Linked DNA regions of Nothobranchius furzeri. The protein of the gene in region 5 purifies or fractionates together with the protein of the main gene of each other region. This does not show direct contact. Links are inferred from orthologs where the notes say so. Each region holds a gene or a part of one and is shown on either strand. Other genes may lie near its edges.

Region 1 (4,185 bases), on a different chromosome or scaffold from region 5:
TACTGACCGATCCCAATATCAATCCGATACAGTATCAGCACAAATTTCGTAGTGTGGAATTTATGAAAGGCTTCATCAAGTGATATTACTCAATAGGAGAACAAGTGCCAGCAACAGTAAGCATGAAAAAAAAATCTTTGGTTGCAAAATTGTGAACCTTAAAAAAATGCTTGTATCGGAGATTTTTGATGCAGTCCAATATAATCCAATGCAGTGTTTTTGGGCCAATATCAAATTACTTCCAATATCGATATCGAAACGGGACATCCCTACAACTGCCATAATGACTAAAGATGATTCGGGCTATCAAAAGTGTTGGATTGTCTTGGTCAGATTTTGGGGGACTAGCTCAGGACGATAATTCAATAGTTCAATATATTTATCGATAGACATGTGGTGCGATAGAAAAAAAAGGGTAGATAAAGCTTCAATAAAAAAAGTTTCCTTTTTTCAAAATAACCTATCAGGTAGCAGCATACTAGACTCACTCCTAGCCAATCAAAACCACAGACTTGGGCACGCTATGTCACCAGGCCCTCCCCTCTCAAACCAAAACAGAGCATGAGGCAGCAAGATGTTGCAGCGAGAAGAGGTGGAGAAAAAAATGAAAATACCAAAAATAAAAAATGGCAAGGGCTGCACGTAAAATATATTTTATATAATTTTTACAATATTTTTTAATAATTGTCGAAATTGATCAAAATTTCAAATAAATTTGTCGATATACTATTTTTCTATATTATCCAGCCCTACGGGGGACAATCAAACGTGCTGCCTGTTGAATGTGACGTGTAGCCAATCAGAAAGCAAGGTGACGGAAGCATGCAGCACGCTCCTTCTCTGCCATGTTTGTTTACTGTGAAGTCCTGTTTGATCTTGCACGATTTGTACTAGTTTATAAAACTTTACTCTACTTTCTTATTTATACAGTATCAAGCTAGTTATCATTTTCAATTCTGGTTAGAAAATAATTTTTATGCTGGAATGATTGTAGAAAAAAAGACAGCAATATAGCACTGAGGTTAAAATGTTTTAATACACAATATATTTTAATTAATTTCCAGGTCCAAAGTGACTGCTCTTTACTCTTTGTTCCTCCAAACTGAGGCTCTTCAAAGAGCTGTTGACAAGATGTAACATTACTTATTCATAACCTTTGAACAGAAACCCAGTATAAACATTCTGAACCATTTCTTTAATGTAATACGCTTAAATTGAAGGAATGGTGGGAAATAACTGTCACTTCTATTTGACATCTAGTATTTTGCTGGCAGCTGCATAGTGACATGGGGAACCTGTGTGTCAGCATTTAGAGCCAGGATCCTGGAAAAATCCAACAGCGGTTTTCCTTCCTCTCCATACCAGTGTGCAAACGAAGCAATAAATTGCAGCATGACAATCGTCTTTTACTCACCTTTTTAAACATACCAAGGTGTATTGGGTACTTAAAAAAACACATTTGCAACAGAGCCTTTAAAAATTATACATGTTTTAAAATGTTTAAAAAAAAGGGAGTCTTTATTAAAAATAAAGCTTTCAACAACAACATGCAATGCAATTCAGTAAGGTAGGGACTGTGACTCAATGCTTTTGAAGCAACAGCTGAAAAAGTGTTATTACTGCAACCAAATAGCCTTGATGACTTTGAAAAAAAAATCCAAGTTAGATACCAGGATTACCACGTGACTACCCTTTCTATATATTTCCCCCTGAATTCAAAGTATTCTTGCAAAATCATAAAAAATTGACAAACCATGCTACAGAAGAGAGAACATTTTAAAGTATTAAATGTGGATAAATGTGATTAGAATCCCAGACTAGTTACTAAAATTGTATAATCATACAAATGTAAACTAATGAGAAAGCATCTAAACATTGTTAAAAAACAATTAAAGATAACTGGAAACTCCTTCAGCTTTAGTGTGGGGGCAAGGATCAGACTATCATGTGCTTTTGCATCAGTATAAGGCCCTAAAATGTATTTATATGTCCAGTGAACACATTTACACTCATGATACCTGGGCTGGTGTAAAGGTACAACAAACACACAAAACAAGCACCTGTGGGAGTGAATTAAAGCTGCCGGAATCGTACAAAATTAAAATGACAAAACATAACATTAATTCCTATATGTGGAAAAGCAGCCACTAAGTTATTTTACTCATTGTCGATTACATGCAGCAACCATTCACCCACACAGGAACCCTACTTTCATCAGTCTAGATTTCGTGAACACTACAGCCGACAACAAGCAGTTCACACAACAAGCTACAAATTCAAATCGTGGTGAGAATAAAAACGTAACCCATGTGTGGACGCGCGCTGTCAAGTAAATCCAGCATGAACGTTACCTGGCAAACAGGAGGCTAGCCCAATTCTGTTTCATTGCAGCAGGCCTTAACGGTGAACAGGCTAGCTAAAAACCAACACAAGCGCTCTCTTGTGATGTCGACACTTAAGCGCGACCTCACTACAACTACAGTGACACTCCAAACGCCTTTGTTATCAGCGTTTGTTTGCTAAATGCTATTTTAAGAGGCTGTGGCAGGCCAATACTGGGTTAGCCACAAATTAGCGGCTAACTAGCACATCAATTAGGTATTAGCATAAGAGTTCAATCAAGCAAACACGAAGAAGACAAAAAGTGGCACGTGCTATTTACCTGTGAAATCGCTAATGGGTGGTAATCCTGGTCGACCCTCAGCCCCCCCACCGTGCTCTAGGCTCGGCCAGCGCTTCGGTTCCTCCGTCTCCCCCCCTCTACGGGACTCAGGACGCTGCCATATTCCCGATACCAAAAGCGCTCAACTGAGCAACCGCAAGGCCTGCCTGTCATGCGGCTGTCAGCTGATTGGTTTGTATGGAGGTGGGATTACCCTGAGAGCTGACCCGAGATCAGTATTCGTTTTGTTACTTCCTGTGTTTGAATGGGCGGTTACTGTCAAATCTGATCCAAGAACAGCTCAGTCGTAATGTTGGGGATTTACGTCTTATCTTTGGGACCTGGTTCATTTGGCTCAGTTCAGATAAAAGACGGTTCTTTTGGCCTCAGCTCTTTAACCCTTTCTGCTCTTAAGTTTCAAGCACTAATATTTAGTTAATATTTGTAAATAAACCCATATTTATGAGGCTTATATTGTTTAAAAATGACTGAAAGAGACCGCATTGGGTGGGACCTTTTATCCTAACTTACGATCCAAAATATGTTAATTTGGTTCTTTGCACAAAATCCCTCTAACATAAAGTCATTTCAGTAGTTTTATTTTTGACAGTTCCAGTACCTTCCAAAATTTCTCTGTCACTTTCAGAAAACCAGATAAAGCTGGCCACGCCCACTCAAATCCCTACTCAGGATGTTATAAGCTGAGAAGCTCCTATATCTGGGATGGGCTTGGAGTAGAGCCGCTGCTTCTTCAGCAGCAGCTCCCTCTTGCATAAGAGGTAGTTCTAGTCTACTGTCCCAGTTTGTTAAGTCACAAATGGGGACTTTTTAAAATGATTTGTTTCAGGCTCCTTTTTCCTTAAACCAAACACTAACAGAAAACAGATTATTTTCATGTTTTGAAGTGTTTATAGAGGATGTAGAGACCCACATGGCAGCACAAAGAATGCAAAAGCAGAAGTTTGCATAATATAAATGATAAATGACCTACACTGTTATAGAGCATTTGTGAGTCAGAGGACTCCAAAGTACTTTACACAACAGAGCATCATTAATTCAATTCAAATTCAATTCAAAAATACTTTATTAATCCCAGAGGGAAATTGATTGTTGTAGTAGCTCAGAATAATAATAATAATCAAGTCATCAAAGAGTTATTGTACATTACAATGGCTGTTGGCAGGAAGGATCTCCAGTAGCGGTCAGTGTTGCAGCCAAACTGAAGAAGCCTCTGACTGAAGACACTCTTCCGTTGTCGGACAGTCTTGTGAAGAGAATGCTCAGGGTTGTCCATAATTTTCTTGATTCTCTGGAAAATCCTTCTTTGCATTATCTCCTCCAGTGGTTCCGAAACTGCCGAAACTCTGGCTGAGTCCTTGAAAGGGCTTGGAGTTCCTCCATCTTGTTGGCCAGTGATCTCACATTGCCCGTTATGATCGATGGAAGAGATGGTTTGAATTTCCTCTTTCTCTGTCTCCGTTTTGCTCCCGCTCTGCACCCACGCTTCTTGCGTTTTAGCTCAT
Region 2 (3,500 bases), on a different chromosome or scaffold from region 5:
TCTAAGAAACAGAAGACAAAATACAAACGGTTAAACATGTAACATGAACAGGGTGACCGTGTGTTGAGAGCAGTGCTAACAGGATACAGCTGTGTTATGGCTCATGTGGAATGTGTGTGTGATAAGGCAAAAGACCAGTTGGATGTTTATGTCCACATTTAAACTCAAAACATTACAAAAAAACACAAAACCAGCAGGTGAAACCAGTGGGTTTGGTTTGGACTTGATCAGAGAGCTTCACAATGACCACACAGAGACAGAATGCGTGCACAGGTGAAAGTTCACATCTGCTCTAACAGAATTTATCCAGTCGCCACCGAGTCTAACTAAACAACACGAGTCGAGAGCACGGACGCTGCGTTTCAAAGGCCGATGGTGTAGGAGCGACCTGCCGGGTTGTGGATGGCAGAGCAGCACGGCTCGGTCACGGCCCACTCGTACCAAACCTTCTTCCCATTGTTGCAGCGCCAGAACCGCACCGTGACATCATCATCTCGCGATATGGAAATGGGCTGCTGTTAGGGAGACACGGAATACCCAGAACATGGAGTCTCTGAACAGGATTTGGATTTTTCCACTTTTCTAGTGATTGATTTACCTTGAGGGGGAAGAGGATGGGAAACCAGGAGAACATCCCAGGCGAATGAGTGTCTGGTTTTATACCTGCAATAAAAACACACACACACATGGAATTAAAGCAACATTTCTATCTAAACACACACACACACGATCATTTCCCCTCCCCTCACACGACTTACTGAGTGTGACATCTTTGTACAGAGTCGTTTCAAAATAACCAGCAAAGCCATGGAGCACAGAGTTACAGTCCACAGAGAACTTGAGGCACTGGTAGCGGTTATTGTTCATGTCTGAAAGGACACACACACCTCATAAATACCCCCGAACAAACACACACGTTCCCTCGTGTGAATCTGATGGTTTCTACCTTTAGATGGGTGTGTGAAGGTGAAGCACGCCTTAGGCTCAGCCAGCTGGTGGAAGTTGTGGAGACGCACCACGTAAGGCGTCTCAAAATGGCACTCAGGGTCCTTGTCGCGCTCCCTGCACCCCCGCACTTCATTGTAGAGCTTGGATGAGGATATCGGAGCTAGGAAAGACGTGTAGGAGCAAGGGATACTGACTCCATCATCTGGAACGCAGAAACAGAAAGAAAAAGTGATATTGGATGGGAAAAGGAAGGTAACGAAGCAGTACAAATGCTTGCTCTGCATCAGCAGAAAGAAACACGTCTGCTTGTGGAATCTGTGTTTCTTAAAGCGACGGAACTAGGGATGAGCCGGATACTCGTTTCAGACGAGTATCCGGTACGGAAAAAGCATTTTTGACGAGTACGAGCATGAAACGAGTAAAACTCGTAAATATCTGTAATTGTGCTGAAGGAAAGTCCTCATTGGGTAACTGACCGTCTTCACGCTCTGTGATTGGCCAGTCACATAGTGCGCCCGCCCCTCCCTACACACAAAACTCAGCAGCAGACACACACACACACACACACACACACACACACACACACACACACACACACACACACACACACACACACACACACACACACACACACACACACACACACACACACACACACACACACACACACACACACACACACACACACACACACACACACACACACACACACACACACACACACACACACACACACACAGATCTCCAGTGTTGGGAGTAATGCGGTACAAAAGTAATTAATTACTGTAATGCATTGCTTTTTGCTGTAATGTAGTAATGTAAGGCATTACAGGGAAAGAGAATGGTAATATTTACTCGGTACAATTGTCAGTAACGCGGTAATTACAATGTATTTTTAAACCCAGAATCAAGATGTGTTCCTTAAAAATTCAAATTGCGGGAAACCCGAAGAAAGATCCAGTATCTGCATATGTTACGTCATTTATGGACTCAGCTTTGCGGGCAGAGAGGACGCCGCGGTAACGGCTCAGCTGCGTCCTGCACGCGGCCGCTGTAACATTCACAAAATCTCTCCACTAAAACAAAATAATTCACTTGCGATCGTTCATATCAGCGCATATTCTCTGGTATTTTGTGCTTTTCTGACGTGCTTTGCCTCAGCTGAGTTCATAATCTGTTCCCCGGTGATTTCAACTCATTACTGCTGGAGCACCGCGCATGTGAAGATCCCTCTGGCTGACCGTTACAAAGTAGGAAGTCTAGGAAACTGTTTTTTCTGGAAGACGGAGAAAACATGCAGCATGCAGGAGAGAAAGGGCAGGAAATTATTCAAATAAAATCAAGAAAAAAAGAAAAAAGTAGGTAGATTTATCCCCAATACACATTTTTACCAGTGAAAAGCAATAATATATAAGCATTTAATATTTATACATGTGACAGAATCAGATCACCCCAGAAGTCAGTCCCACATCCAGGGCCGTATCAAGGCATTTGGGGACCAAGGCAAACATAGGCTTGGAGCCCCCACCACCTCACTCCCTGCTCAGTTAATCTAAGATGGCAGCGTGCTGAGAGTACAGATTGTTGTTGCTTTTATTTAATAAACAATCATTTTAAAGCACTGTTATTATATCTGACTGTTTTTAACAGCAATCCTAGCTCAGACACCACATCACCTTCCACATATATGTCATGAGCTCACTGAGTGTCAGGTTACCAGATTCATATTGAAGTTGTTTTGGTGAAAGTAACAAAGTAATGCAAAAGTAGTGTAATGCCTTACATTTTAAAATCAGTAATCTTGTAATGTAATGAATTACTTTAAAATGAGGGTAACAAGTAATAAATAATGCATTACAGTTTTGAAGTAACTTGCCCAACACTGCGGATCTCTCTGTGCTTGCTTCACTGTTCACGTTTCTTCAGTGCTCCCTATGTTTTCTTCGGTTTGCTTCTTTTTAAAGTTAAAGTTATTTAAAGTTACTTTTTTCGTAACGTACGTGGTGCATTTGACAAGACAGAGCTGAAAACGGCTCGTGCTGCGTCAGTCACTGCCTGCGCTCCAGTCGGGTTTTTTTTTCCTCTCTCTCTCCTCTTCCTCAGGATCCACTCCCTCTTTCCTATTCTTTCTCTCTCTCTACATTTTTAAATCACAATTGTCTATTTTTTGCTCATTTTAAATATATTTTAATCATTTTCTAAATTCTTTTTTCTATTTTACATGTTTTGTTTTGTGAAGCGCCCCGTGATTTTTATCTTGAGAGGCGCTTTAGAAAAGATCTTTTCTTCTCTCTCGCTCTTAATTCATGCACTTAAATATTAATGTTCTGATTTTATTGAAAAACTTGTTCTGTAATAGTTCCTTTACTATTGTGATTAAAAACATTTAATCTCAACTCTGAGGCTGCTCTGTAAATAGTTTTCAAATAAACAATACACATAGCAACTTCTGATCAGACGTAAAATAATGTATTGATGTAAACCACACCCACTTCTGGCTTAGGCCACGCCCACCCAGAGTACAGATACAGATCATTTAGATGGTTTAACAG
Region 3 (2,569 bases), on a different chromosome or scaffold from region 5:
CACCGTCCACCTTTGATTAATCAAAATGCAATACATACAGTTATAATTATTGGGTATATAAATCAGATTTTATATATATTTTGTGGAGGTTCGCCATTTTCAAAAAAGTCCAAATCTCAATAGTTTCAGGTTTGTGGTTTTCAACGAATTTCTTTAATGGCAACATTTTTGCAAGTTTAGAGGAGACGCAAGCTGGTAACTATGCCTGACAGTTTAAAGGATTTTTTTGTCAGACAATATTAGATCATGTCAGTTATGTGCAACTAACGTGTTTTCGCACTGACGTCCTGAGTGTGGTGCAAAAAAAAACCAGATGGTGACACCTGTTAATCATACAATTTGAATTCCAACAGTGAAAGAAAAATTTAACTCGTTTATTTTTATTCATGTGATGTAGCAAGTAGCAATGCAATTTTGTAAATCTTCTGTAGGACTACTTATACAATATTTCTGCTATACACAAAAATATCTTTGATGTTTTGATACATTTTAATAACAATTTAATGTAAAAGTTTTTGTTACTGTACCCTTTTAGCCACCACTAGAGGGAGTGGCCTCATTCTTCCTTTGCTAATACACAGCCATAGACACATACACTTTTTGACTGCAGAGAAATTGTTAGAATTGTCACCTGCCAAAAATAATAAGACATATTTTCTGAAGCAATGAGACTATTTGGATCGGGAAGTTAGATGTTGAGCTGCAGTCTGTAGCACTTGTTGGGTTGTAGTGAGACGGTTGCAAGTTTGATTTCCACAGCAGCCTTTCTGCATGGAGTTAGCGTTCTTATCATGCATGCGTGTGTTTTATCCACTTTCTGCCCACAGACCAATAACATGCATGTTAGCTTGATTGGAGATTCTAAATTGTCCTCAGGGTGAGTGTAATGGGATGGACTAAGCTAGCTTTCCAACTGTTGGAGACACATTTTAAGACCAAGTTCAATGAGAAACCATTTTTTACCTGTCATTTTTTAAATATGATCAGCTCTGAATTTCACATGCAGGCTGAACGTGAAAATAGTCTTGTATACCTGTTCCCTGCATCAACCGTCAATAGAAAATAAATGGGGAAGTGCCCAGGTTAAAAAAAAGCCACATGGATCTGCATCTCGCTGTAAATTAGCATTCATGGACTCATCCACCTTGGCTCGTGTCGGGGAAGGTGGTTAATTTTTGCAGCCAGGAGAGAGCAGAGTGTGTCTCAGCTAGTAGATGCTAACCGTTAGCATCAGTCACTCCTTCAGACTTGTGTTATTTGTGGAGATAAAACATAAACGTTGCAGAGCAAACAGAGTCAGTGGTAGAGTTGCATTGCTGTTAGCCAATCAGAGGCAAGGTGTCAGAATATCAGGAAATAATAATGAGTAAGACTCACAAGGTGTCTTTTTACACCAGAGACTGCTGCAAATGTGTTGAAAAAACAAGTGAACTTGGTCTTTAAGGTAGTGACCAAAACACACCCTTATTTTACTGTGGTGAAAACGCCTCAAAGATGCGTTCTCTGTTTAAAACTGGACTATCTTAAACCTTAGAGGGGTGCAGATCCTCCTAAACTAGACCGGTTTCAGCAGGACGAGCATCTGGCCTCCTTCACGTCTCCTCTCCGCTGCCTTAATTACACAACACAATGACGATGAGATCTGCCTGTAATCTCCCAGCATAATAACCCCCACCCATCCACCCCGTTCCCTGCCTGCCACTAATTCAATATAAATGTAAATTACCTCGAGAAAAGAATAAGCAAATCTCATTTTATTTACATGACTAATCACAATAAAGTCAGGCAGATGAAATATGAATGGAATATACAGCTGGGGTGTGCGTTTCCATAGAGACTTGTTTTAGATGTTATTTCTTTTGGGGTACATCAATATACCTTTTGGACTCTTGCTCAACTTGTAATAGATGTGTGTATCTATTTTCTCCTGTCTGCTCGTACGCACACTGCCAAGGGCATCACAAAGCAATATGTTTTCCCTTTTTTTCTATAATACACATATCTGAGGAGAAAATGTAAAAAAAAAAACGACTTCATGTTGAGCACCTCGGGCATTCCATCCAAACAGGATGAGTTTAAGTGTGATTTATTCCTTCTCCGCTCACGCCCACAGACCTCGCACCTCAGGATCCCTTTGAGGAGGAGTTTCGTCGCCTCAGACAGAACGCGCTTCCTGGCTTCGGCCTGCACCAGCGCTACCTGAGGAACTCTGCCCAGAACCCCTCAGAGGAAGAGGAGGAGCACGGCCCACAGAGCCAGGGACTGACGAGAGGTCCGCCAATCTGCCAGTGCAGGCCTGATTAATTACCAACACACTGAGCTCTCCTTTAAAGAGTCTTAATGAGCGCAGCTAATTGTCGGCTTTTGTGTCTGATGGCCCCACAAAGCACAAACGACGAAGAGTTGCGTGTTTGATTGGCAGATGTAAACACAGAGGACAGACATGTTCATTAGGCAGCTCTGTTCTACGTCGCCGTAACGACCGAGAGGTCAGAGTCCGCCCCCTGTTTTCCTCTACGGGGTCAGGAAGTCAGGCACAAAAGCTGAGCAATTATCTGCAACACAGTCG
Region 4 (3,500 bases), on a different chromosome or scaffold from region 5:
TAGCGCTAGCTATAGCAGGCTGCTGGTTGCAACAATTGCAATACTGTTTCCAACCAGTAGGAAGTGTGAGAAACTAAAGTTTTACTTAAAAGTAGTGCTGAGCCATATGGACCAGAACTTACAATCCAGTATCTTTGAGCAAAATTCTGATTTATGATATTTGTCTCAATATTTTTCTTCCTGTAAATTGTTTACAAGTTAAACCCCTTCAAGATGTGATTCATTGTCTACAGAATTTCATCAGCAGATTAAATGCATCAAACATATATTGATTCAGTTGTTAAACGTTAACCTTAGTGCCGCTCACCATCAGTCTGAGCTTTGGAAACACTGGCAAGCTGTCTAAGGCACAAGTAGCTTTTTATCATCTTTGTTGGAACCATAAGAAACGACATTTTTTTAAAGTGTGTTTTTATGTAGCTTGTTTATGGTTTTTGTAATTTAATCTGGACATGGAGTCTATCTATCCATCTATCCATCTATCTATCTATCAAGTTGTTAGAGCTGTATCAAAAGCTGGCAAAAAGGTAACAAAGGCACTATTTTTAATATATATTTATAATTCATGTACAACAATTTAAATTCAACCTAGGGATGGGTGTATCAGGTCATTCACAATACCACTAGTAATTATGTCTTGCTTAGAAAAAACCTATCATGATGATACCATGATGTAAATGTATCCACTATGCAGTGGATTCTGTTCATGTGGGCCATACAGCGTGGCTTTATTAAAGTTGGAAAGGCAAACAAGGCACGAATCTCACAATATTCACTCATGACAGCGAGCAGGGAAAGGTACGTTTCTTAGGTATTTTAGCTGCTGTACCCATTTGCTGATTAAGAGTGGGGATTTGGCCCGACTCGACACCATACTCAGGAACGACAACATGGACAATCACGGTGGAAAACCTTGCAGAAACATGAACGGATGTCCCCAGAAAATCAATAACTGTGAGGCCGAGTGTAAAGGTTAGGACATAATATTAACCCAAAGGTTTTGATTAAAGGTGTGGTTGACTGAATTTTTTTTTAAACTATTTCTAATTATAATCGGTCACTGAGTTTTTCATGCAGGCTGAACATGAAAACAATCTCCCACACTAATCTCCTCTGTTAGCTTCTGATAGAAAATAGATGGTGAAATGCTAGGATTTGAAAATCCTCACACTGTGATGTCACACTGTGAATTTGCATTCATGGCCTCTCCCATCTTGACTCACGTCTGCCCACTGGAAGGCTTAAAAAATTTTTTTTGCAGCAAAGAGAGAGAGCAGAGTGTGTTGGTGATAGTGCCTGTGCAACATGGCTGAACACGTTCTGTTAGCCAATTAAAAGCAAGGTGTGTGCATATCATTAATAATAATGAGCAATTCTGCTGTTTTCAGTCCACCTCCTCACCAGCAAACATCTGCATCTCATGACTCATAAGGCATTGATTTACATTAGAGAAAACTGCAAATGTATTGAATAAACGAGTAAACCACACATTTAATGTTGACAACAACTTTCTCTAAGTTTTGTCTGCAAACATCAACTGGATGGGCAACAATGGATGACCATGCAAGCTAGTGGTAGCGATGCCTGCTAACTCTAGCATTTCATCGGTTGTATATTGTTATAAATGTTACTTGGTCATCTTGTTTTTGTTAGAAATTATATCACTATTTTAAAAAATATAGAGATTTTCTTACTTTAGGATGATAAATAATTACACTAAGAAGACTATCTCTACTAACGGATGCTAATCTGTTTCTCCAAACAGAGGCAATTCAGGAAGCCATCTACCACGGCTAATCTGTAATTAATTATAACTTTACTCAAAGCAAGGATAAAAACTTGCAAATACTTCCAAATGTGCAAAATACAACTTTTTAAATCAAAGATAACGTGACCAAGAGAAACACTTTAATGAACAATTTAACACTCAGGTGAGAGTCGTGGCGTCGGCCAAGGAATACTTCTAAAAACCACAGCCAGCATGCAAAAAGTATGCATCTATAATGCATTTTAGCTCTATATTCTTCCCTCTTCATATCCCTGGATTTATCCTGCCAGTTTGGCCCAGGGCTGGAGGGAGGGATAATTCATTTAGAGGTGCTCTGCTCTAAACATGGATGATACTACCTGGCACCAGGATGGTGATGGCGGTCTGCACTGCTTTACGGATGATGTTGTCCAGAGCAAACATCCAATGAGGCTTGATGTTGTGGTTTCGTAGCACTTTATTCACCTATAAACATAAAGGAAAACAAACTTTTCATATTTACAAGTCTAAGTAGTCGTGCACTACACATAAAAAATCCTCTGGGTGCATCGATGACCAGCAGGGGGCGTCAGAACTCCATTTTCCCACCTCAGATTATGCAATACACTAACAACCATTTTCTCTTATGTTATTCGTTTAGCATTTCTGATGAGCCTGTTTGCAGAATGTGCAGTTCCTCCTGTCTGAAGACCTCTTTTCTTAAAGCTTATGAATCATTTTTACTTTATTATCTCGGCGCAGGAGGAAAAGGAAACAGACAGGCTTCTGCTGCCTGACGTAAAACATTTACAACAAAACACCCAGAGCTCTACAGGGATGTAACAGACAGGAAGTCACATGACTCAGGCATGGAGGAGGAGTGATGTTTGGGTTTTAATCTGGTGCTATTTAAAGTCATTTCAAGGATTTCAATGGACTGATTATTCCCAGAAGGGAAAATTAGAGGAGGATTTATCGAACCTCCCTGTTGTAGTGATGAACTTACAGCATCCTGGAAGCTGAACAGTATGACCTGCAGCTGGCTGATGGCGGTGCTGTCAAAGTCCAGGTCCAGTTTGAGTTGAGACAAGGTGTTGGCAATGATCTTCCTGTCGGCCATGCGGATGAAGTCAGCCAGACTCACTACGAGGATGGAGATGTGCTGCGGTTTTACTTTAATTTCCTCAGAGCCCTGAAGGTCAGAGAACCACAGAAGATTTTAACACTGCGTCTCCCTGGCCCTCCTGTTAGTTTCTTCCATTCCCAACCTGTGTGAGGGCCTCCATCAGGTTGGCCACAACCTTGTCTTGGTCCTCGGTCAGGATTTGGTGCAGCGTGGCTCGCCTCTCGCTGTCCTTGCGGAGCATAAAGAAGCCTGTGTCTTTCTCGTCGGGAGACGGAGGAGCGCTGTGATCCTCAAAGTTCTCCACTGGAATGCTGAGATAAATAGTCGGCGGTTTGGTTTAGTGCGTTCTTTTATTATATGCAAAAGTCTTAAGGACACCTATGGACATTTAGTTAGATGGCTCGTAATTCGTAAATCTGTTCAAAAACAAAATTTTCTGCTGTTTTGTATCATTTTTACATTAGAAAATCCACTGTTAAAGACTTCTCAGACCTTAATCTGAAATAAACCTGCTTTGGCCTTTATACTGACAACTGGTTTAGTGTTTCACAGTCGTGAGGCTATGCGTGAAACTCGTCTGCAGCAAGCAGCAGCCACGACTCTGTCCATTTCAAGTGTTCTACCTGA
Region 5 (3,632 bases):
AACCATTTGTCAACGCGGGTTTTAGCAACAGCTGAACATTCTGAACTCATATCCAGCAATGTGGGAACGTTGTTTATATATATATGCAGCCATTTATTTTCTGTTTCCAGTTCAAGGCGTTTCAGAAAAACATGGCAAATCGCTGAGGACTGACTCTAAAACTAAAAAAAATACAGAACTCATTCATTCGACTTATTGGAATTGTCTGTTTGAAGGTGTGATTGATATGCAAAGGAGAGGAAAACCTTTTTATTCTACTCAAATCCTTAAAGTGACAAAGACGGTTGGGTCTGAGCGCCACCAGCATCTCGATGCATCAAGTAAAACTAAAAACGTCTATTGGCATTTCTGACCACTTCAACAAATATACTAGAATAGATGGGCAGATGCTCTTTTTCTTATGAAATATGACAAAAATACTGGATTAGATATCAAATAAAATGTCTGTCAGCAAAATTTGTTGGTTTATTTTATATTTAAGTATATATGTGTGTATTTAGAGACCTACTGTAGGTATATGTGAAACACTAGAGTGTGATGCTAATGTTTCCCAGTAACTGTGGCACTCAGAGATAAAGCAGGCAGAGTGCGGCAGAGACCTGAGTACAAGCCCCATTATGAAGACAGGAGGAGTCAGGCTGGACGACTTAAAAAAATTAAATTAAATTTAAAAAAAAAACACGATAGAGAAGCTGAACGAGAGAAAGAGTGATCAGGTCTTAAAGGGAGCAACAGGCCATGAACACCAAGCCTCCGAGAGCTGCAACAAAAGGTTTTACAGCCAAGAACAAAACCGTTGGGAGGATGCAAACTGGGATGCTTTATACTCCCCGTTTGGTAGTTTCCTGTGTGGCTTGAGTAAAGTTCATATCCAGGCAAAGGGTGATCTGTTCTCTATATTCTTATCCAGGTCTGGTGTTGGCTCCTGGAAGAGAAAAGGAGCGAGCCTCCTCAGTAGTCCTCCACCCAGCCGTTCTCCTGGATAAAGGCATCAATCACTTCCTTCATGGCCAGGTTGGGGATCAGCTGATCCTGGGTCAGGGGACTTCGGGTGACTGGGTCAAAGTGACCAACTCGCTGCAAAAATGCAAACAAGAAGGATTTAATGTATTTGTGCACAACTACATTATTGATGCTTTAGAGAAAGTAACTGAACAGCTTTTCTTCTAACTGTGCCAATAACCAACACTTGTAATACCGTTAACCCACGTAAACCAATGATAACTACAGGGAGCCTAAGCCACGCTCATCTACTGGGTCCACTACTGTCAAAAGCATGATGAGCCAATAAAAGCTGTTTTCTGATCCCGTTTAATATGTGCTATGGCTTTAACAAATGCTGTCTGTGAATTTTAAAGACACATTCTGATGGCAAGAAAGTGCTTATTTTTAAAAAATGGCTAAAGTTATTTTAGATTTTGTGCGAAAAAATGTATAAGACTACAAATGTTTGTCTCACAAAATTGATGTCGTCAAACCAGACATGATGAAGAAAACGACTGAGTTTAGCGAGCTTTGGATCTTTCTTCCAGGACAAAAAAAAGCATTAAACGTGTAGAAAAGCACCATAAATCTGGCCATGTGGTAAGTAGCCGCTACGCTGGGGGAGAGGAGATACTGTGGTGATGTCGTATATGCGACGTCTGATTTGTGGCCACTTTAATTATCAATTTTTACAAGGTAATAAATCTCAAAATACGTGACAGACATAATCTAAACTCGTTACTATTTAGAATTTAAGCTAAAGTACAACATATGTGAGACTCGGGGTTAAAGGCAAAGTAGATTAGAAAATAGCTTTTGCAGCGCCGTTGACGGGGAGGAGACATATGGGCCATTCCCATCTGTACCCGGTCGGCACGGGCCGGGTAGCCCCAGTCGGCCCCAGCCTGGCCCGGTTGATTCCACACATCCTTGTCTTAAGCCCATGTGGGCTGATTCTACCCACCAATCAGAGGCTTGCTCTAATGGAAGGTGTGAATGGGCTGATTCTACCCACCAATCAGAGGCTTGCTCTAATGGAAGGTGTGAATGGGCTGATTCTACCCACCAATCAGAGGCTTGCTCTAATGGAAGGTGTGAATTTGCTGTCAGCAGTGGGTGTGTTGGCCCTGGTCGGCCTGAAGCAGACCTCCTCGGGAAGAGGGCCGAGAATGAGCCTTGGTTGGCCCGGGAAAATTCCAGGCCACCCAGATATGTAAACAACCTACGCTACCCGGCCCGGGCCGACCCGGTACAGGTGGGAATGGGGCTATAGGCTCCCTGTTACAACCAGTACTGATTTGTAGAGATGCAAGAAAATTTCTATACACTGAAATATTGCTGATATTTAAAAGAAGGTGTATCAAATTTTTATAGAGCATTTTAACATAATCTTCCACTGTGCTTCCCTTTGTGTGGTGCAATTCTACCTCCAACTGCTAGGTGGCAGCAGATTTTACCGCCTTCAGTCTGACTTCACGAGATCTCGTGATAACACTGGAAGCCTCTGGTCTTCAGGCTGTTTTGTATCATAACATATCATATGGTCGCTGCTGTACTGTGATACATAACCCACCGCTACTGATCTGATCATGTCTAGACTTGTGGACAGAAGCCTGTCCTACCACAGGATCAGCACTTCACGTCGCGGTGGCGGCCCAGTGTGACCCTGGCTTTAGCGGCTTGAGGAAGAAAACTTCAGATGCTGTTGGAAATTACAATTAACCTGTCACCTGAGTCTGTCACCATGGTGACCAATGCTGTAAACCTGCTCGCAGTTCAGTCCACACATTTTAACAAGCTGTTCTATTCATTCATTCATTCATTATTTATTTAAAGGAGGACAATGCATACTTATGAACAGTAAATATGCCAGATTTTAAGACTAATTTCCACTTGCAGTCCTCTGGCAGGTTGATGTTGCTAAAACAAATAAAACAGTCAACAACATACACATAGATAAAAAAAAAAACAATCAAATAAAACAAGTCACCAACTACCAGCAGACCTGAAACTGTTTACCTGTAGATGCTCTTCTATGTCCTTGCGGTCATAAGTGATCCCGCTGGGTGTGATGCAGGGCTCCCTCATCAACTCAAAACTGATTTTCCCACAAAGATAATCTGGAATCTCTCGCTTCTGGAATCAGGAAAAGAGGAAACTCTAAACAATCAGGGTTTCTATACAATTAGATGATTTATTCTGGTCTAACAGGGTCCAGGTCATCAACAAGCTGCTGCTTAGCAACCACACTGATGTCACTTCCTCCTAAAAAGCCTCAACGATCATCCTAATACGATATTAAGCAAACACATAACAGATTGATACATCTTATTCTAATTTCAAGGCCAGTTCCATCCTCCCTTATACGACTACAACCTCAATATAAACAACCAGCTCTGGCAAGAAACTTGGCAAACAGCAAGTAACAGTCGTCATAGAAACAGCTTGCGCTAAAATTAAAACAACCATCTTATTTCATGCGATCTCATCTGTCAGTGAAGTTACTGAGGTTGTATAAAAATAAAATAACCGCAAAAGATAGACTTAAATAAAACAGATCTCAAGTCAGATCTGAAGAATCAAGTATATTTGCTGCTCTTATGCCAACTACAAAAATGGGGGAGGGGGGGGGGGGAGACACACACTGT
Region 6 (3,500 bases), on a different chromosome or scaffold from region 5:
TCATGTCCATGGTGTGGCGGCTGAGGAACGTCTTGGTGTCCAGAGGGACCTCGATGTTGGAAGGGTGGGGGATGGGGTCACAGATCAGAACCAGGTAGGGGAGCAGTGGCTCCATCTGCTCTGCTCGATGGTCATGAACACACATGTGACCCGAGCAGTGAAGGACCTACAGAAACACGTTTTCAAACCAAGAGGGAAACTTTAATCTTTCTGTAATTATTATTTTTTACTTTAAGTAACTTTTTTAATTTAGGAGCCCGAGATGCTCCACAGCTTCAACACTTCTTTACCTTCCATGTAGCCGACTTGACATTAACCGTGCGACCTCTGCTTGTGAGGGTGCATTTCATCCTCAGAAAGAAATTCCGTTCATTATTTGGTTCCTTGCTTTTTTTGGAGCCTGGAATCACAAAATTAAACAGATATGAATCCAGAGTGAGGCAGAGTAAGCCAGCAGTAGATTGCTCTTTTTTATTGGTCCCAACTCAACAATCTACAAACTGCCAACTGATAAAATTTGCATCAAAAGGAGACATTTGCTCTGATGCTGTGGCCTTGTGGTGAGCTAGAGGATAAAATGGAAATAGCTACCAGCAGTTAGAGCCGAGGCGGTATCAGTGAGCAAAGAAATAACAAAAAACACAGGTCCTAAATGTAAGAGTGAACCGAAGCAGAGAGAAGATTCAGCAAAACTTATCTCACTAACGAGAAGCAAAGCAAAGATCTGTTATTGATGATTAAAAGGTCGGAAGATTACTCAGCCACTGCTCAAAACCGGAGTGGATTTTTGTGTCGTTACTAAGCAGAGCTGACCACAGAGTGAGTTGGACTTTCTACCATCTGGAGCACCAACACACCCGACAGAGAGCTCTGTGTGTGCGCGTCTCGGTTTCTCTACACATTTGTACTCTTCAGTGCAACACTGCTCACCTGTTCTACAGAGGAGCATCTCTCTCAGCTCCTCCTGGTCGCAGGGATGTGTGAAGTCAAACACACTGTGGCCAGTCAGGTCAAACTGCAAAGGCAAACAAACAGAAATATACTTTTAAAACACAAATATATAAATAGAGCTACCAAGAAGTATTCATTTAAAGCTTAAAAATGTGCACTTATTTTTTAATTCCCTGCTTCAGACCCACCTGCGCCAGCCCAAGACACTTGCTGACATTCTCCGAGAGATAAATCATATCGCCGTCTTCAGACAGCACCATGAGGAAGCCCTCCAACGCCTTCAGGTAGGACCCGTTCAGCTGAACATCAAGCTCAGTTTCCCCCTCTTCCATTGGCTTATCTGGAGCATTGAGAGAGGGAGCAAGGTGGGTGATAAGCTAAAGGACAAATAACCGGTTCAAACAGCTGCAGACACAGAAAAACCACTCCTCTAGCCCCAGGTGTTTCTGCAGAGAGATTATGGCAGAATACGCAGTACCTCCTTTGTGTTTTCCACTATAGGCTACATGTAAATGAAGTGAATTACTCTGAAGTCAACAAGATAACAAATATGACAAGCATACTGCAGGTACATGGTTAACAGAGCAGTGGAATGGTTTATAATCATCTGTCGCTACAGATGCTGACCACTGCAGAGAAGGTTCCTCATGCGCAGGTAGCTGATGGTCAGCCTCATGATGGAGGCCTTGTCCAGGCTTGAGCTGGTGCTGTGGGGGAGAGGCAGCTGCTTGGCCAGCTCATAGAACACCTCCGACTCCTTCCCACGGCGGCATCTTGCTGCATCCCTTGATTTCTCCTTCCTGCGCTCCGAGCTCACCCTGCAGGAGACAGGAGGTGGATCAGCCTCATGCTGGGTTTGTTAAACGTAAAAATCCCTTTTCCCAAAACTGAAACATGTCTGCAGAGGCCAGCGCAGCTGGAGCATTCAACAGGCTGTCTCAGCCCAGCCAGTGCAATGCAAGCGTCCTATTGGCTGCTGAACAAACGAAATAGGACTCGCCCACTCAAATGACTACACAGGAAAGAGTCAGAGCTCAGCCATCCCCCCACCCCCATCCCACACACTGATTCAGACATTTTACAGTGCCATTTCGGCTAATGTGACCACCGCTGAATCAAAGCAGGGCTATTGATTCTTCAAGTGACTGAAATCACTACACTATAAAAACTTAATGAGACAAAATTGTTAGATTCAAGGTAAGAACAAGAAGGGGTGCATCAAATGGCCGCTTTCATTCAAAAAATGGTTGTGGGTTTAATATTATTTTGAATGATGTTTGCTGTTGTCTTGATTCAGAATCAAAAACAAAAGAAAAACAGACGATATTTGGAGAAGGAAGGCCTTTTGACACAACACTGGTCTCGCTCGGCGGCCATGTTTAAAATGTTCACTTGTTCACTCTTTTTATTGCTCATTGTCAATGGCGTGTCCAGTGAGTGGTCTGGAGCAGCATTTGCCACTCTTGGAATCTGACTGGCCACCCCAATGAGTTCCACTTAAATTGACATTAAGTTGTCCACAAAAAAATAAGGGTTAACCCCTAAAACAGTAGTCGACAGTATGGACTTTTAACATTAGTTTCTAGTCACAGGCCTACAGAACATTTGTGTATTATTAATTATTGTTTTCATATTGACAAAAATAGTATTCATAGTCCTGGTCCAAACTCACTCCAGTAGATGGCGGTAATGCACCAAGAAGTGGCTTGCTAACCACCTCAAAACAAGAAGTTGAAGAATAATGCAAAAATGTATTATTTTGTGAGGGGTGACAACCCCGCAGATCAAAACAAAAAGTATAACTATAGGTGCCACCCATGCATAAATTAGTGCCCCACTGGAGCCACCCATTTTAAAAGGCCTGGACACGCCACTGCAAATTGTGCCTCCATTATGTGCTTATAAAAAAATTTTTTTAAAGTCTGTGCTGTACTTCCTGTTCCACCTTATGTTGCTCAACATTGCGGTAAATAAACATAAACAAAATCGATTTAGAAAAACCGCGATGCCTCAAAAAACAGATTTCATCTCCCATTCATATGCCATAAATTTATATCACCAATCTTTGTTGCAAACTGCACCTCAGTAAGTTGAAATACATTTAGATGACATGTGAGCAGCCAGACGACCAAATGAACAGCTTAAAAACCCACAGCTATGAAATGCACACCTGATTGAAATTGATCTGGCACGCACTTACAGCACTGAATAAGGCCCTTTTGTTTTTGCCAGAAAATAGACCAGATAATGTAATTTGCAGGAGGCTAATTTTAGTTAACAGGCAGGCTGTGTTTCACACGAAAGCTTTCCATTACACACACGTGATGCACAAACCGATCCACGATAAAGCTAATTGGTCCTCTGCGGCTGGAAGATTTTCAATGCTGAGCCGAATCACCGTCCCTCGGGAAATAGGCTAGGTGCTGATTTAATCTAGCGAAAAGCATGTGGGTCAAAATTTCTATTCGGTGACATGAACACACAAACAGAAAAACACTCAGTGTTGCTGCTATTAAGTTCCATTTACAATTGGGAAGCTACAAAGTTAT
Region 7 (3,500 bases), on a different chromosome or scaffold from region 5:
GGCTCACCAGGCTGGCCTCGTCCAGTTGGAACACTTTCATTGCAGATTTGAATCTGAAACGCTCCCAGTGGGATATGATTGGACGGCTGGGGTCATGTGGACAATGCAGCCATTTCATTACGCAACCGGTGGAAAGCCTAGGTTAGGGGGAACGACCAGTGGTGCCTCCAGAAATTTTTTTCTGCAGATGCTATGAAGGAGCTAGTCTTTTTATTGAGGGTGCTATGAAGGAAGTGGTCGTGCGTACCTATTGTTCTCTAAAACACCTTCAACACTAGCAGATACACATGCGTGCACAAAACCTCAACAACACCTGAAACAATCATTAATAAACATCATAAACATATGAACAATCGCTGACTTTTCCATGAAATCATAAACACAAACAGCCACACAGAAAACCATCTATAGTGTTGCAAGGTTAGCTAACGTTAGTGTTAGCATTTCCAGCGGCAAAACCCTCGACTGCTGCGGCGGTTGAGGGTTGACTCCATCCAGATCCGTAGGTTTTTGTGGGTCTGAGATCACTTCCAAACATTCATTCGTTTCTGACTGAACCCGTGGAAATGTGGGCAACAAAAACCGATCCATTTTACCACTAGCTCTACCTTTCACTCGTTCGCAGGTGGAAAATGAGGTCAAAGGTTAACATCAATTTCCTGTTTTGGTTGAAGTTTTTACTATCTATATGATAATTTACTGATTATTTTTGTTTTGTATGTTAAATATGATCACATCCACACGTTAAATTAAAATTAAATTGTAAAAAAAATAATCTAATATTTACTTGGGGGTGCAATGACTAATCCAGGGGTAGCTATAGCGCCCCCTAGCATCACCACTGGGAACGACTATAAAGAACAGGCGACTGAGTTCCACCGGGTGCATGAACAGCATGCCGCGGCAGTGGCAGCTGCATTGCAAGATCACATTAGACATCCATCCATCTCTATAACAACAATAGATGGAGACACTGACAGTTACCAACTGGTATTATGGTAAAAAGGAGGTGCGGCGTCATTTATAATGTTGTGATTCTTTGCTGCCAAGAAAAAAAAAGTCTAATCTTTTGTCCTGAAAAACACACCGATGCTCTCCTCAAAAGATGACGGAAAATTCGCCATTCAGTCACTGTCACAGACGTAACGGTTACATGGTTAAGCAATTGAAAATTTGCACTTGTCTTAATAAAAAAAGGTAATGGACCAGATGGTGTAGTATGCAAGAGTCTAATAAAAGCTTCAGAATCATCAGATTTTGTGTAAGAAGTTCCTCTTCTGAAGACGGAGCAGATGTATTTTACTTTAGTTGAGAAATAAAAAATAAAAAGAGATGAAACCAAAAGATTCCCGTCTGCAGCCAGCTTACCATAGCGTGGCTCGAGTCGTGGGTCAAGCCAGGATGTGGTTTTGTTCTTGTGGTTGATGTAGTAAATTTCTCCCTCTGGTGTTATGGCTTGTTCCCAGCCTTCAGGGAGGGGTCCTGAGGGATAACAGGGAAAAATAACATTGAACAAGTACTGGAAGTTGGCTGAATGCAGGAATTTCTCTTTACTGATATTGTTTCACAAAGTACACCAACGAACATTGAGAAGAATACGAAGCAGCGTTATCAAATGTGTGCACAAACAGAGATTAAATCAGGTTTATTTAATCGTCTTTGAGTGAATCACCGTTATCTGTCCCTGACAAACAAGCTCGTCAGCATCTGAGATTTTTTTTTTTATTATTTACCAACAAGCTAACAGGTTGAGCGGTATCAACTAGAGACAAAGAGAATGACGTCATCTGTTAAACTGATCTGAGTCACAGAGCTTCCAAACTAACAGAAGGACGCGTCCTGCCTCGGTCTTACCTCACCTGGGGCAAATTCCAAATTCCAAGTTGTGCACATTAGTGACAAGTAAGAACTAGACTGAGTTTTTCCTCCATTAAAGCAAAATTTAAGTAAAAACTTCACGATTCTAGCTAGCTGATTTTTGCACATACCACTGGTTGGGTTCATGAGAGTCTGCTGCGGGACTGGAACAGAACTTGGAGGAGAAGTCTGGTTCATCTGGAGCAAGGGCTTGCGGGGATCCTGCCAAGTGGTCGTTTTATCAATGTGGCTGCAACAAGAGCAGATGGCAAAATATACTTTAAAACACCTTAATCTATGGTCACATCCAACAATGTTACTTCATCTTTTTTCTGACCATCTCCGCATAGAGGGGACAGGGCAGGGGTGGGGTAGGGGCATTGTGTGCACTCCCAAGGCATTGATAATTACTGCTTTGTTGGCACTTGTTTCTTGATTAAGATGGAAAGCTAATACAGGAAGCCCTCCTCTCCCAGGCAGGTCCCCCTCTATTGAGGGAGGGTCAGTCCCAGGGCTCAACGCAGGGGGTCCCTTTTCCTGGAAGCGGCTCGGACACTGCGGAGTGTCAGGGGCTTTAACAATCTGGCGCCACATTTACAAAGCTTTCACCTGCTTGACAAAGGCGCAGACTGAGCTACGACCTAAAACCTAGCTATTCCCTTTTTTTTAACCATCCTATTTAGAACACACACACACGCACACACACACACCATCTCTCCCTAAAAGGCACCAAACTCCAGCAGCTCGTCTGCGCAAAGCCACTTTTTAATTGTAGTAAAGAGACTTAAGAGACAAAAGAGTTTATTTATTATGCCATGAAATATTCCCTTTAGTGATCAACAAAAACTCACTGTGTTTCTTTTAACAGCTTGGTGTTAATTTGATCCCAAAATGCCATTAGAGCAGATTTTGGAACAGCTGGATGAAGCGAGAGATTCAGTAAGTTTCCCTTGGCCCGTTCGGTAATCCCAGCCCGCCTGTCTGCTCTCGATCCCAGGCCAGAGAGCGAGTGGGCCTGACTCAGCACTCCTCCCCCTGACACAATGAAACCCATTCTGAAGCCCCCCGCTTGTTTATGCTTTATTGATCAAAGGAGCTGCCAAATCCCTTACCAAACCCTCCCCCAGAACCACCAACTCCTCCCTCTCCCTCTCTCACACACACAAAAACACCACAAACCACGCAAGAAAAAAAAAAGGCTGGATCGGCTCCAACTGAAGGTGGCCTTTCAAGAAAGCGAGGTCACGTGGAGCAGAATGAACGACTACAGAAAAGGAAAACCAGTTCTATAGATTTGCACAAGCTACAAGAGTTTCTGTGGCCCTGCTACAGTCACCCTCTGCCCCTCATTCCTCTGTAAGACCTGACAATTATTAGAGATAGAAGGGATCTTTTTGCGTTATTTGGGGGGGGGGGGGGGGGGTGGAAAATCAGAGGGTACCTTCAAAATAAAGGGCCAGCACAATACAGGACACCAAACAGGAATCAACAGTGATGGAAAAAAAAAGAAAAAGTAGAACATCACGTTCTACCAAATGCTGTTGTTTAGACGCCAACTTTGTGTTGTCCAATTCGTCAAAAAAAGATAAACAAACCCAAAGTTCAAAACAGAGGCAACGATAATCAAAAGTCTGTGCGTTATG

What was found.
Region 1: the proteins of stub1 (region 5) and dnaJ homolog subfamily C member 13 purify together in Homo sapiens (affinity purification with mass spectrometry; 3 studies listed by BioGRID and IntAct, with this or other methods). This does not show direct contact. The link is inferred for Nothobranchius furzeri from reciprocal best matches to the Homo sapiens genes STUB1 and DNAJC13.
Region 2: the proteins of stub1 (region 5) and prmt5 purify together in Homo sapiens (affinity purification with western blotting; 3 studies listed by BioGRID and IntAct, with this or other methods). This does not show direct contact. The link is inferred for Nothobranchius furzeri from reciprocal best matches to the Homo sapiens genes STUB1 and PRMT5.
Region 3: the proteins of stub1 (region 5) and dnajb6b purify together in Homo sapiens (affinity purification with mass spectrometry; 4 studies listed by BioGRID and IntAct, with this or other methods). This does not show direct contact. The link is inferred for Nothobranchius furzeri from reciprocal best matches to the Homo sapiens genes STUB1 and DNAJB6.
Region 4: the proteins of stub1 (region 5) and map3k5 purify together in Homo sapiens (affinity purification with western blotting; 3 studies listed by BioGRID). This does not show direct contact. The link is inferred for Nothobranchius furzeri from reciprocal best matches to the Homo sapiens genes STUB1 and MAP3K5.
Region 6: the proteins of stub1 (region 5) and hif1aa purify together in Homo sapiens (affinity purification with western blotting; 3 studies listed by BioGRID, with this or other methods). This does not show direct contact. The link is inferred for Nothobranchius furzeri from reciprocal best matches to the Homo sapiens genes STUB1 and HIF1A.
Region 7: the proteins of stub1 (region 5) and yap1 purify together in Homo sapiens (affinity purification with mass spectrometry; 3 studies listed by BioGRID and IntAct, with this or other methods). This does not show direct contact. The link is inferred for Nothobranchius furzeri from reciprocal best matches to the Homo sapiens genes STUB1 and YAP1.

The regions. Positions count from the first base shown.
Region 1 is NC_091747.1:45,032,711-45,036,895, reverse strand, and holds the start of dnaJ homolog subfamily C member 13, read right to left. Parts: upstream 2,801-4,185; 5' UTR 2,663-2,800; intron 1-2,662.
Region 2 is NC_091751.1:63,263,707-63,267,206, reverse strand, and holds part of prmt5 (protein arginine N-methyltransferase 5), read right to left. Parts: intron 1,151-3,500; coding exon 947-1,150; intron 870-946; coding exon 759-869; intron 664-758; coding exon 599-663; intron 516-598; coding exon 363-515; 3' UTR 1-362. UniProt on the Homo sapiens protein: Arginine methyltransferase that can both catalyze the formation of omega-N monomethylarginine (MMA) and symmetrical dimethylarginine (sDMA), with a preference for the formation of MMA.
Region 3 is NC_091747.1:47,489,064-47,491,632, reverse strand, and holds part of dnajb6b (dnaJ homolog subfamily B member 6b), read left to right. Parts: intron 1-2,113; coding exon 2,114-2,272; intron 2,273-2,569. UniProt on the Homo sapiens protein: Has a stimulatory effect on the ATPase activity of HSP70 in a dose-dependent and time-dependent manner and hence acts as a co-chaperone of HSP70. Plays an indispensable role in the organization of KRT8/KRT18 filaments.
Region 4 is NC_091742.1:11,443,707-11,447,206, forward strand, and holds part of map3k5 (mitogen-activated protein kinase kinase kinase 5), read right to left. Parts: coding exon 3,497-3,500; intron 3,185-3,496; coding exon 3,016-3,184; intron 2,940-3,015; coding exon 2,754-2,939; intron 2,234-2,753; coding exon 2,128-2,233; intron 1-2,127. UniProt on the Homo sapiens protein: Serine/threonine kinase which acts as an essential component of the MAP kinase signal transduction pathway. Plays an important role in the cascades of cellular responses evoked by changes in the environment.
Region 5 is NC_091756.1:32,255,875-32,259,506, forward strand, and holds the end of stub1 (E3 ubiquitin-protein ligase CHIP), read right to left. Parts: intron 3,121-3,632; coding exon 3,004-3,120; intron 1,078-3,003; coding exon 952-1,077; 3' UTR 501-951; downstream 1-500. UniProt on the Homo sapiens protein: E3 ubiquitin-protein ligase which targets misfolded chaperone substrates towards proteasomal degradation.
Region 6 is NC_091758.1:31,049,934-31,053,433, forward strand, and holds part of hif1aa (hypoxia inducible factor 1 subunit alpha a), read right to left. Parts: intron 1,770-3,500; coding exon 1,579-1,769; intron 1,292-1,578; coding exon 1,140-1,291; intron 1,016-1,139; coding exon 931-1,015; intron 401-930; coding exon 291-400; intron 167-290; coding exon 1-166.
Region 7 is NC_091753.1:45,044,991-45,048,490, forward strand, and holds part of yap1 (transcriptional coactivator YAP1), read right to left. Parts: intron 3,063-3,500; exon of another isoform or gene 2,912-3,062; coding exon of another isoform or gene 2,709-2,911; intron 2,108-2,708; coding exon 1,989-2,107; intron 1,483-1,988; coding exon 1,369-1,482; intron 1-1,368. UniProt on the Homo sapiens protein: Transcriptional regulator with dual roles as a coactivator and corepressor. Critical downstream regulatory target in the Hippo signaling pathway, crucial for organ size control and tumor suppression by restricting proliferation and promoting apoptosis.